3 linked regions of the Callithrix jacchus genome follow. The protein of the gene in region 2 purifies or fractionates together with the protein of the main gene of each other region. This does not show direct contact. Links are inferred from orthologs where the notes say so. Each region holds a gene or a part of one and is shown on either strand. Other genes may lie near its edges.

Region 1 (3,750 bases), on a different chromosome or scaffold from region 2:
GAGGAGTTCGTGTTCAGTATCACTGGGCTGTATATTTAAAGATTAATATGAGTTCCCAAGCAAAAAAGTTAGGAAGGAGCATTTCAAGCAATGCTGACCACATATGCAAAGCCAAAGTAAAGATATTTGCATTGCTAGAATGGAAAGTTTGAGGGGAGACTAAAGAGACATGATGCTGAAGAGGTGCGTAGGGACCAGGTTGTTAATAGCTGTAATGCTATTTTTTCTGTTTTGTTTTTGTTTTGTTTTGTTTTGTTTTGTTTTGTGACAGGGTCTGACTCTATCTCAAAAAAAAAAAAAAAAGGCTCGGCTCACTGCAACCTCCTCCGCCTCCCAGGTTCAAGTGATTCTCCTGCCTCAGCCTCCTGAGTAGCTGGGACTACAGGTGCGCACCAGCACGCCTGGCTAATTCTTTTGTTTTTTCTTTTCTTTCTCTCTCTCTCTCTCTCTCTCTCTTTTTTTTTTTTTTTTTTTTTTTTTTTTTTTTTTTTTTTTTTTTTTAGCAGAGATGGAGTTTCACCATGTTGACCAGGCTGGTCTTACTCCTGACCTCAAGTGATCAGCACACCTCGGCCTCCCTAAGTGCTGGGATTTCAGGTGTGAGCCACCATGCCTGGCCTGTGATGCTATCTTTTCAGGGAAAAAAATATACTGAGGGTGCTAGAGGATAAAACAAGGAAAGCAGACTTGCTCCCTGTGTCTTGAAACTTAAAATTTTGCGCGGATGGAGTAAAGAGATGGAGAAAAAAGAAAATCTAAAACACGTAAACTAATAAATAAAATAACTAAGCATAGTATTAACTGTAGGAAGAAAACTAACCAGTTGCCGAGATTAATTAGGCCTTGGGGGCAAATGAGGTTCACAGCAGTGCCAAAGATTTAACTGTAACCTGTTAAAAGAACAGAGTACTGGGCATTTTCGGATCAGTAATGGCACGTAATTCATATGCAGATGTTAACCTTTACCGACGCGCAAAAAGGCATGGTAATATCAATCAAGGAGTACCCACCGCATCCTCGCATCTCTAGAAAAAGCCCATCTGCATGCGAAGTGCCAAGCCACCACAAGCCAGTTAGCTTTTACGCATGTGCAACGAATCACCTTAAAGTAAACTGGAATGCCATGTTTCTCTTCCTCTCAACAAACTTCCATAACAACGTATAGCTCCGTTTTACAACAGACAGCCTTCCCTTTTAGTCTTTCAACAAACTTATCTCGTTTAAGGTACCTATACCCACACAAAAACACTTTCCGCCCCCCACATCCCAGGCTCCACCTACCTTTAATATGGCGGAGGCCGAGTCTGCGCAGTACAAAGAGAGAAGGTTCATGCCCGTCTTCCGGTGCGGAAGACTATACCATTACCATAGCCTATAATTTTGTTTGTTTATTTCGCACATACAATTTCCCGAGTCCAGATGTTCTCATTTAAACCACAAGAAGATTTGTCTCTCCCTATTAGTGTAAATACTGTTTTTATCGTCACGTCCCGGAAAGACCCCTGTCTTCTCTGAATGGTCTGTACTAACTGCACCTCCGGTTCTAGGTGTCATGGCTGCCCCAAGAGTCTAGTTAAGAGTTTGCTCCCGTGGGGCGGAGGGTCCAAGGCCCACACCAGGAGACCTAGCGAGGTAAAGTTGTCCCTTGGTTGTGGATACGACAGCTTCTCCGTTTCCTCGGCGATGGCGGCGTCCGGGAGCGGTATGGCCCAGAAAACCTGGGAATTGGCCAACAACATGCAGGAAGCTCAGAGTATCGATGAAATCTACAAATACGACAAGAAGCAGCAGCAAGAAATCCTGGCGGCGAAGCCCTGGACTAAGGAGTGAGGAGGTCCCTGGCGAGACGCAGGGGAGGGAAGGGGTGGCGGGAGTTTAAGAGACCCGGAGGGAATGGGAGTTGAAAGGGTTCTGAAGAGCTTTCACCGACGGGGAGGGGGACAGAATAGGCGCTTTGGATTTGCAAGTAGAGTCTAAGCCCTCCTCTGGGGCTTTGACTCCCTTTTTTGTCGCTTTAACCCATTTGTCCCCGGATGATGTCAAGGGAGAACAACAAGCGGTGATTTAAATTGTTGCTTCTGAACATTCGTATTGTCATATATGCCCCACACACTGCCTTGAACCCAGTATCGGCATGCACCTTGTTTGGGTCTTCTACCCCAAACTGGGGACTGCAGCTGTTTGCAGAAATCGAGTCAGCAGCCCAAGGTCTCAAAAATAGCTATGAACTATTTTATTTTATATTTTTTAAATAGAGATGGGTCCTCGCTGTGTTGCTCAGGCTGGTCTCTAGCTCCTGGCTTCAAGCGATCCTTTCCCCTTGGCCTTCCAAAGTGGTGGGATTACAAGCATCAGGCCTGGGCCTATAATAGTTTTTCGATTGCTGGTAATTATTTAGGAGACACACGGAGGCTCTACCTGGTCTCTAAAATGTTACTCCACCAGTCCCCATAAACCAAATATTATAAAACTAGAGCTTAAGGCTCTTTGCCCTTTAGCAATATCCATTTTTCCCTGGGAGTGGTGACAAGTCAAGGGATCTTTACCCATATTTTCTTTTTCCTGAGAGCAGTGTTTGGGAGAAAGTAAAAAGAGCACAAAAGCTAATGGATAGATAGAAAGGAGAGATGTGGTCAAAAAGAAGACCTACTTCTACTGCTTCAGTTTTTTTTTTACAGGGCTAGCCTTGCCTTTCAGTACTCAGACGAGATCAGGTGCGTTCAGGGTGTTACGGCCGTAGACGTCTCTCAGTATTCAGATTCCACAGTGGTGAATTGTGGAGGCACCTAGCTAGAGATTTCCACCTCATTTAATCTTGATGACAACCCAGTACAGTATATCTATCCTTTTTTTTACAAATTAAAAGAAAAAACAAGCAAATGCATTATGTAACTTATGGTCACACTGAGATAAGTGAACTCCTAACTGAGCATTAGTCAGACCTAAGATCAAATCTCACACTATCACTAACTAGTTAATTGACCTTAGGAAATTTACTTATCCATCTTCAATTATCGTAACATGTAAATAAGACCTACCTATTGGTGTTGTCATAAAGATGAGATAATGTATAAAAAGAGTCCTCTAAAATATATGTAAGAGGAGCATAGTAATTTGTCTTTCTTCGTTTCTCCAGTAAAGGGAGAAGCCAAGATTTCGATTCATGTTTTGACTTCCAACATGAAGTCTACACATTTTTCAGCTTTCGGTTGAAATCTGGCAAAGCTTAGGAATTAAATTTGGATTCTTTCTGTGGGCAGACATCTAAAAAAACTTTGTAGATACGTTGACTGACTGCTCTCTATGGCTGATTAAGTTGCTTGGTTGTCTTCTTTCTGTAGCAGGCTGCATTTTAGGTTGATGTACTCTTAAATATTTAGAAACAGCCTGCCTCACTGTCTAATTATGACTCTAATTATATTCATCCTAGCTATCTTGGACTGCATCAATGAGACAAAAATGTACTTTTATTCAAGAGTTTAATTTACTGATGACAAATTCTGAAATAGTGATCATAGGAAACTATAATCTTAGAGCTACTTTTTAATTTGAGGCTGACATACAGGGAATCCCACCCTTCAACACACTGTTCTTTGAGAATAGGATTAAAAGACAGGTTAATAATTAATAATGCTAATGACAGCTAGCACTTACTAGGTTTCTAGTATGTGTAAAGCACTAAGCTAAGCACTTTATATACATTTCATTTACTTTATTTCATCATAACAACTACTGTGAATATCCCTATTT
Region 2 (3,750 bases):
TCAGTAGGTGGGATTCTCTACCCTTTGGAGAGAGTAGGCACTGAGCACTCTAGTTTCTTCTGACACTCTTCTTCCTCTGTGTAATCCAGCAGTTAGGGGTTCCAGGCTACCAAGGCTACCAGGGTTGCTTTTCTTCTTTTTTTTTGAGACAGAGTCTGGCTCTGACACCAGGCTGGAGTGCAGTGGCACAATCTCGGCTCACTGCCTCCCAGTTCACCACCTCTGCCTCCCAGTTCAAGTGATTATTCTGCCTCAGCCTCCCAAGTAGCTGGGGCTACAGGTGTGTGCTACCACACCCAGTTAATTTTTGTATTTTTCAGTAGAGATGACCATGTTGGTCAGGATGGTCTCGATCTCTTGAACTCGTGATCTGCCCACATCGGCCTCCCAAAGTGCTGGAATTACAGGTGTGAGCCACCTCGCCCAGCCCAGGGCTGCTTTGCAGCCGAGTTTGGTCTATGTGCTTGCCCAGGAAACAGGTAGGAATGGATAGTCAGGCATGGCTCATACATGTAATCCCAGCACTTTGGGAGGCCGAGGTAGGTGGATCATCTGAGGTTAGGAGTTCGACACCAGCCTGGCCAACATGTTGAAACCCTGTCTCTACTAAAAATACAAAATTTACAGGTGTGGTGGCAGGCACCTGTAATCCCAACTACTTGAGAGGCTGAGGCATGAAAATCGCTTGAACCCGGAAAATGTACATCTCAGTGAGCCAAGATTATGCCACTGCACTCCAGCCTGGGCAACAAGAGTGAAACTTCATCTCAAAAAAGGAAAAAAAAAAAAAAAAAAAAAAAAAAAAAAAGATAGTCATAGAGGGATGGCACTGAGGAGAATATCTGGTCCCTGGATCAGGGGCCTTAACCTCCTCTTTCAATAGATCACCCAGAACATCAGTGATCAGGACACTTATATGTACTCAGCTGGGTCAAGGGTCCTCCTCCTGCCCTAGGGTCTCAAAGGACAGGACAATGGTTAAGGAATACAGGCTCAGACCCCAACCATTCTCATCTTTTGGTGATGACTGAGACCAGAGAAACTGACCCCATCTGGAGTCTCCAACAACCCTTCTCACCCACTAGAGCCTGAGGCTGGTCTGGTGAGCTCCTCCAGACTCTACACCTCTCTCCAGAGTCTACAGGCTGCTTATGAAGTCCTTTCTCCCCCAAAGTCATGCCCACTAGTCCCTGGTTGCCCTGGTCCCTGGTCCTGTGGTGGGGCAGCCAGCTTTGTGACTTCATAGAAGGCTATCTTGTGACAAGTCTGGGCCTGGTGAAGCAGGAGCAGGGCAAAGGGGGCTCCCCTTAGGAATATCATGTGACTTTTCATAGAGAGACATCTCCATCTCTAAGGGATGAAGAAGAGCTTCCCCACAGTAAGAGCCCATGACACCCTCTACACCTAGAAACTCCTCTCCTTGAGGATTTTGGCTCCCAGGCCTAACTGGGTACTCCAGGCTGTATCTGGCAACATCTCCAAGAGGGCCAGGCCCACGGTAGAGGTATTTACTTCAGGTGATGGGTGGATCTCTAACCTCTGAATTTGTCCCATTTGACAAAGCCATTTTTCTCTAGGCCCCCCCTCTCTTTTCTTTAATTTCAAATATTATTATTATTATCATTTTTTTATTTTATTTTGAGACAGAGTCTTGCTCTGTCACCTAGGCTGGAGTGCAGTGGAGCAATCTCGGCTCACTGGGTTCAAGCAATTCTTGTGCCTCAGGACTCTGAGTAGCTGGGATACAGGCGCACAGCCGGATAAATTTTGTACCTTTTTAGTAGAGATAGGGTTTTGCTATCTTGGCCAGGCTGGTCTAGAACTCCCAACCTTAGGTGATCCATCAGCCTCGGCCTCCCAAAGTGCTGGGATTATGGCGTGAGCCACCACGCCTAGCCATAAGAATGATTTTTATTTTTATTTTAAAATTATTTATTTGTTTATTTTTTTTAGATGGAGTCTTGCTCCATAGCCCAGGCTGGAGTGCAGTGGCGTGACCTTGGCCCACTGCAGCTTCCACCTCCAGGGTGCCAGTTCAAGCAATTCTGTGTCAGCCTCCTGAGTAGCTAAAGATCATTCTGGGCCGGGCACAGTGGCTCACACCTGTAATCCCAGCACTTTGGGAGGCCAAGGTGGGTGGATCACTTGAGGTCAGGAGTTCCAGACCAGCCTGGGCAACATGATGAAACCCCATCTCTACTAAAAATACAAAAAACTAGCCAGGTGTGGTGGTGTGCACCTGTAATCCCAGCTACTCAGGAGGCTGAGACAGGAAAATCACTTGAACCCAGGAGGCAGAGGTTGCAGTGAGAAGAGACTGCTTTATTGCCTTTTAGCCTGGGGACAGAGCGAGACTCCGTCTCAAGAAAATACAGAAATAAAAAACAAATACAGGGGTTTCTGAGAGCTTGGAGGCCAGGCCAACACAGACCCTCTCCCCAATGTTAATTCCACTCTTCTTCCTCCTGGAAGGATTTCCAACCCCAGGAACCTGAGGCAAAAGAGGCTGGGTGTGCTTGCTTTTTTATCTCCCCAGTACTTGTGCCCATGGACCATGTGGGCACTTACATTGTTGACTTTGTGGCATCTGTTTCTTTCTCTGTAAAGTGAGAGTGGTGGATGTGAATGTAATCAGACATAATTACACACCCTTTGGGAAATGGAGTGGCATTCCCTCTCCTCATTTTCTCTGGGGGGCTATCAGGGCCACGAGGCAGGAGCAGGGCACCCAGTGAATGACTGGGATTTCCTCTTTGTCTAGGCTGGTGTTCTCAAGGATGGTAACCTTGAGCCTCTAATTGGTAGCTTCTGTGACACTCCTGGACACTTGCAGTAGCAGTCTTGTCTAGCCTAAAGGAGAGCAGGGGTGGATATGGGACAGCTGGCCTCACTTCCCAGCCCTAGGGAAGGGCATTGCTGGAGGAAGCACAGGAATTGTGGGGTGACACCAGGGTAAGGATGAGCTGGTGGGTGCACCTGGGTAAGCCTAGAAGGTGCTGGGAGTGAAAAGCTCGTAGAAGGATGGGAGCAGGAGAGGGAGGAGAGTGAAGGAGAAGACTGAGGCCCAGAGAACCTGCTGCTGTCCACTTTCCTACCCAGGTAGTGGGTGTGCTTGGACGTGGGAGTAGGTAGAGCATGCCTATCTGTAGGCCTTGGTCCTGGGGCCAGGGCTGGGCTCTTCTTGCATTTTCTCTGCTTCTGGGCAGCTCCAAAAGCACTCCTCGCTCTTTCAGATGAGGCTTCTTCTTTCTCAGGCACACTACAGAGCAGGGGGTGGAAGAGGCAGGGCAGGGTAAGACAGAGTCCAAAGATGTCCCACCAAAGATGCCAATAAATCTCCTTCCAGTGATGCAGGACCCATGTGCCAGAACCAAGCCAGGATGTGGCCCTGGATTGTCTGTAGCTTTGTGTGTTCATATGCTTAGATGTGAAAGTATTTGTTGTGAGGACTGGGTGCCTAATGCATGCTTGTGTATCTGGCAAATGTAATACTTGAACAGTGAAATGTGTCACCAAGCACACTTGGAATGTGTGTGCAGTTGGGAAAGCCTGGGTGCTCCCCCTTCTCCTTCCCAGAGGTGGGAAGGAGGTGTTTAGGGGTGTCTGTAGGTGCATGGCTGTGTGCATGTCAGGGAGGGGGAGGTGTTGGCAGGGGTAGAGGAGGCTACAGGAGTTACAGAGTGCAGATTCCTGAGGGTGTGGCTGCTGGACAGGCCCTGCTCATCTTCTGCTCTGCTTCCCCAGCCTCTT
Region 3 (3,650 bases), on a different chromosome or scaffold from region 2:
TATGTATTTGGTTAATTTTTTTTTTTAATTCTTGTTTTCATTTTGTAGAGACAGGGTCTTGCTATGCTTTCCAGACTGGTCTCAAACTCCTGACCTCAAGCATCCTCCTGCCTTGGCCTCCCATAGTGCTGGGATTACAGTCTATTCTAGTGTTTATTATTCACAGTTTAAATTATTCTTCCAATTCTTTATGAAGCCTCCACTGATGGATTTTTCTCCTAATAATTATACTTTCTTTAAGACTGTGTGTAGTGGTAGAGAAAAAATTTCTCATCTGCACTATAAAGTTGATCTGAGAAAAAAATGTTTATACTGCCTCCTTGCTGGGTTTATGTGAGAAGAATGTAATAAAATAATAGGGGTTCTTTTTGGAAAGATTTTATGAAAAAAGAAAATAATATGGGCAATTCCAATATTAATCATAAACCTTGTATAAGAGAATTCTGTCAGTGACATGGCAAGAATAGGTGTCTTTTTACTTTGTTATTGATTGTGTTAGGCTAAGGTGTAGTGATAGACATGTATAGCTTAACACTTCAGAAAGATCACTTTGATTAGATGTTCTTTATATTTGGTATTTGGTTTATATTATTATGCAATCTTGTCCTCTTTCTTTAAGCAACCAGGTTTTCCTGTGACTGTGACAGTAGAGAGTCCTTCATCCTCTGAAACTGAAGAAGTTGATGATTCCTCAGAGAGTGTTCATGAAGTGCCTGAGAAAACTAGCATAAAACAAGAAGCATTACAGGTACAAAGCTGTCACTTTAAAGATATGGAGAAGTTTATTTCAAACTGCAGTTAGTTTTGGTGAAAGCTTGATTGTGCACTGGACAGCTTGCATGGGATTTTCCCTTGCTTCTTTCTCATATCCCTTGAATGGTTCTTTATCATACAACAAGGTAAAAGGGAGGACGTCTGAACTCTAAGAAATAAAAATTGGAACATGTCATCAGTAATATATTTTTTTCCTTAGAATCATAGAATATTAGATTTAGGGAAGACCTTAATGATCATAAGATAAACTCAAAGAAATTAAGCACTGAATGAATGTACCCAGCTGATTCAGGACCCTTTGGGAGGTCTTATCTTTTTTGTGTATGCTAGGAAGTCCACAATTTATCAAAATAAATACAATTTTCTTTTAGTATGAAACTTACAAATATAGAAGGAATTATCCCTTTTCTATATACTTGTATTTAGCTTATAAACAACAGGAATTTATGTCTCACAGTTCTGGAGGCAGGGGAGTCTAAGATCAGGCAGATTTGGTGTCTGGTGAGGGCCTGCTTTGTGGTTCACAGATGGCTTCTCACCATGTCCTCACATGGTAGAAGGGCAGTTATCTTATTTTTATGTGACGATGGAAGTCACTTTTTGATTTTCAAAAAATGAAGACTGATTTTTATTTCTAAAATTAAAGTTAATGATAAGTAATTAGAGATTTTTTTAAGATAACTAATTACAAAAATAATAGAATATTGGAAAAATCTATAATCTAGAATTGTTCCTTTTATAAATGAGCACCTACAGTGTGTAGCACCTAAGTGGTTTATTACCAAGTTCCAGAGGAAAAACAAAATCCTAGAATGTCTAAGTCATGTTCATTATTGTTTTAAATGTGTTATATTTATTTTCTTCACCAGAGGATTAGGAAATTGTATTCTAAAAGTGATTGTAGCCATTGGGAAAGACCAAGAAGGTTAGGAAATATAACTTGGGAAGTTCTGATTCAAGATGCACTGAGAATTCTCTCAGCTCTTTTCTATTTTAAGAACCCCATGAAATGATGTTATCAAAATTTCTGAAATACGTAAGCCTACAGTAGTCAAGAGAATTGAAGAAATTTCAACGTAATTTTGAAATACAAAAGACAAATGGAAATGAGTATGAAACCGAAGCAGTAGAACAAAGGAAAACAGTCACCTAAAATATGCATAGGGAAGCCTACAGCTCAGAGGGAATCTAATCCCCACTGCAGAAATAGCTCCATACTCAGATATGCATATAGGAGGAAGGAAAGGAACCAGAAATGTGACTAACATAGAGGGAGCTCCTTGACAGTTTGTATATGGAAGAGTTGACTCCCAGCCTTACCTTCACTCTCCTAAAATGAGATCATTTGATTTTGAAAACCAGCAAAGTAACTGGGGAGAACGAGGGTAGATAGTGTGGATTTTGCACCCTAGAAAATGGTAGCTGAGGATATCCTGCCCTACTGGCTACCCACTTCTTCATACATAACAGAAGCTAGTCATCAGCTCCCAATGATCTTCTGCTCCCTTACTCTTAAATAGAAAACAACCTTGGTTCACCTGATAGTTTGAATAAAACTCACAACATGACAAGGAAAATAAAAGATGAAAGATATGTCCTGGTAGGACCAGAGCTAATTAAGAGGACAAAAATACTTTAAGAAAAAACCCTACTAAACATCTTTAGGTTTGTTAAGCACAAGATCAAAAGGTACAGTACTGTAAAACAGAATAGGGTGTTTTTTAAAAAGGAATAGCAGAAAGCAAGGGTAGTCTCTTGGAAATTATAATGGTTGAAATAAATTCATTAGGAATTAAGGAAATTTCTCATTAGCTAGAACAGAAAGGCAAGATTAGAAAATATTTGACAAAAATGATATGGTAGCGAGGTTGCATCTAGGAGGTCTAACGTTACTGTAAGAAAACTCAGAAGATAGAAAAAAATGGATGGAAGGAAATTACAAAACAAAAAAATCAAGAAAATTTGCCTTAGATAGATGCATATAAGTGGAGTCTTTATTGTGATATTTCAAGATACTGAGAAAAGAAAGAAATTCCTGAGAGAAAAATACCAGTCGCCTAAAAAACAATAAAAACCAGACTTTATCATAGTTCTTATCAGCTATCATGGATCCTGGAATTAGAAAGATACCTCCAATGTTTTAAAGGCAAATAATTGTAATAATTGTCAGCCTGGGGTTCCCCCTCCAGCCAAACTGTCAATCGTAAGTTGGGGCTGAATAGAATTTTTTTGACCTGTTCTGTACCTTTTCTTGTTATTTGAAAACGTAGTCCAGCAAAATTAGGGAATAAACCAAGAAGGAAGATAATAGGATATCAGGGATCAGTGGTTTCAATGCAGAGAGCACTGAGTCTGGATTTGAGAGGCTTCCATTGGTTGTGTGACTGCGAACTTAAAAAAACCTTGAAGCATATTACTATGTATTAGGCAGTGTTAGAAAGGAGGAGGAAAGAGAAGAAAAGAGGGAGGGAGAGAATCAAACTCCAGAGGAGGAGAAAGCTTTGTTGGCACAAACATAAAGCAAATTAAACTACTGAAGCAGGAGCAGTGAGAAACAAACCTCTTGAACACCGAACTGAGGAAGGAAGTGGCTTTTTGTTGGCTGGGAATTGGGGGGGCTACAGCTTCATTCACTGAGCTCCCTGAGAAGCAGCAGCTTTCCCTTTTTAAGGGCTCACAACTCTAAAGGGGGAGCAGAGGTGAAACTGTGTCATTGCCCATCAGCCAGGCAGCTGACCTCACAGTCTTTGGCTTTCATAGATTTGCTAATTTATATTTGGCACACACGAGAGGGAAAGAAGGGGAAGGGTTACAGGAGCTGAACAAAGACAGAAAATTACTTGGTGGCAGATGCAACTTAAGGGCAGGGGGTTTGG

Evidence for each region.
Region 1: the proteins of DCAF1 (region 2) and COPS5 purify together in Homo sapiens (affinity purification with mass spectrometry; 8 studies listed by BioGRID and IntAct, with this or other methods). This does not show direct contact. The link is inferred for Callithrix jacchus from reciprocal best matches to the Homo sapiens genes DCAF1 and COPS5.
Region 3: the proteins of DCAF1 (region 2) and CEP78 purify together in Homo sapiens (affinity purification with western blotting; 3 studies listed by BioGRID, with this or other methods). This does not show direct contact. The link is inferred for Callithrix jacchus from reciprocal best matches to the Homo sapiens genes DCAF1 and CEP78.

The regions. Positions count from the first base shown.
Region 1 is NC_133517.1:22,942,180-22,945,929, reverse strand, and holds the start of COPS5 (COP9 signalosome complex subunit 5), read left to right. Parts: upstream 1-1,549; 5' UTR 1,550-1,683; coding exon 1,684-1,826; exon of another isoform or gene 1,827-1,913; intron 1,914-3,750. UniProt on the Homo sapiens protein: Probable protease subunit of the COP9 signalosome complex (CSN), a complex involved in various cellular and developmental processes.
Region 2 is NC_133516.1:34,070,952-34,074,701, reverse strand, and holds the start of DCAF1 (DDB1- and CUL4-associated factor 1), read left to right. Parts: upstream 1-1,309; 5' UTR 1,310-1,517; intron 1,518-3,750. UniProt on the Homo sapiens protein: Acts both as a substrate recognition component of E3 ubiquitin-protein ligase complexes and as an atypical serine/threonine-protein kinase, playing key roles in various processes such as cell cycle, telomerase regulation and histone modification.
Region 3 is NC_133502.1:104,719,445-104,723,094, reverse strand, and holds part of CEP78 (centrosomal protein of 78 kDa), read left to right. Parts: intron 1-619; coding exon 620-748; intron 749-3,650. UniProt on the Homo sapiens protein: Centriole wall protein that localizes to mature centrioles and regulates centriole and cilia biogenesis. Involved in centrosome duplication: required for efficient PLK4 centrosomal localization and PLK4-induced overduplication of centrioles.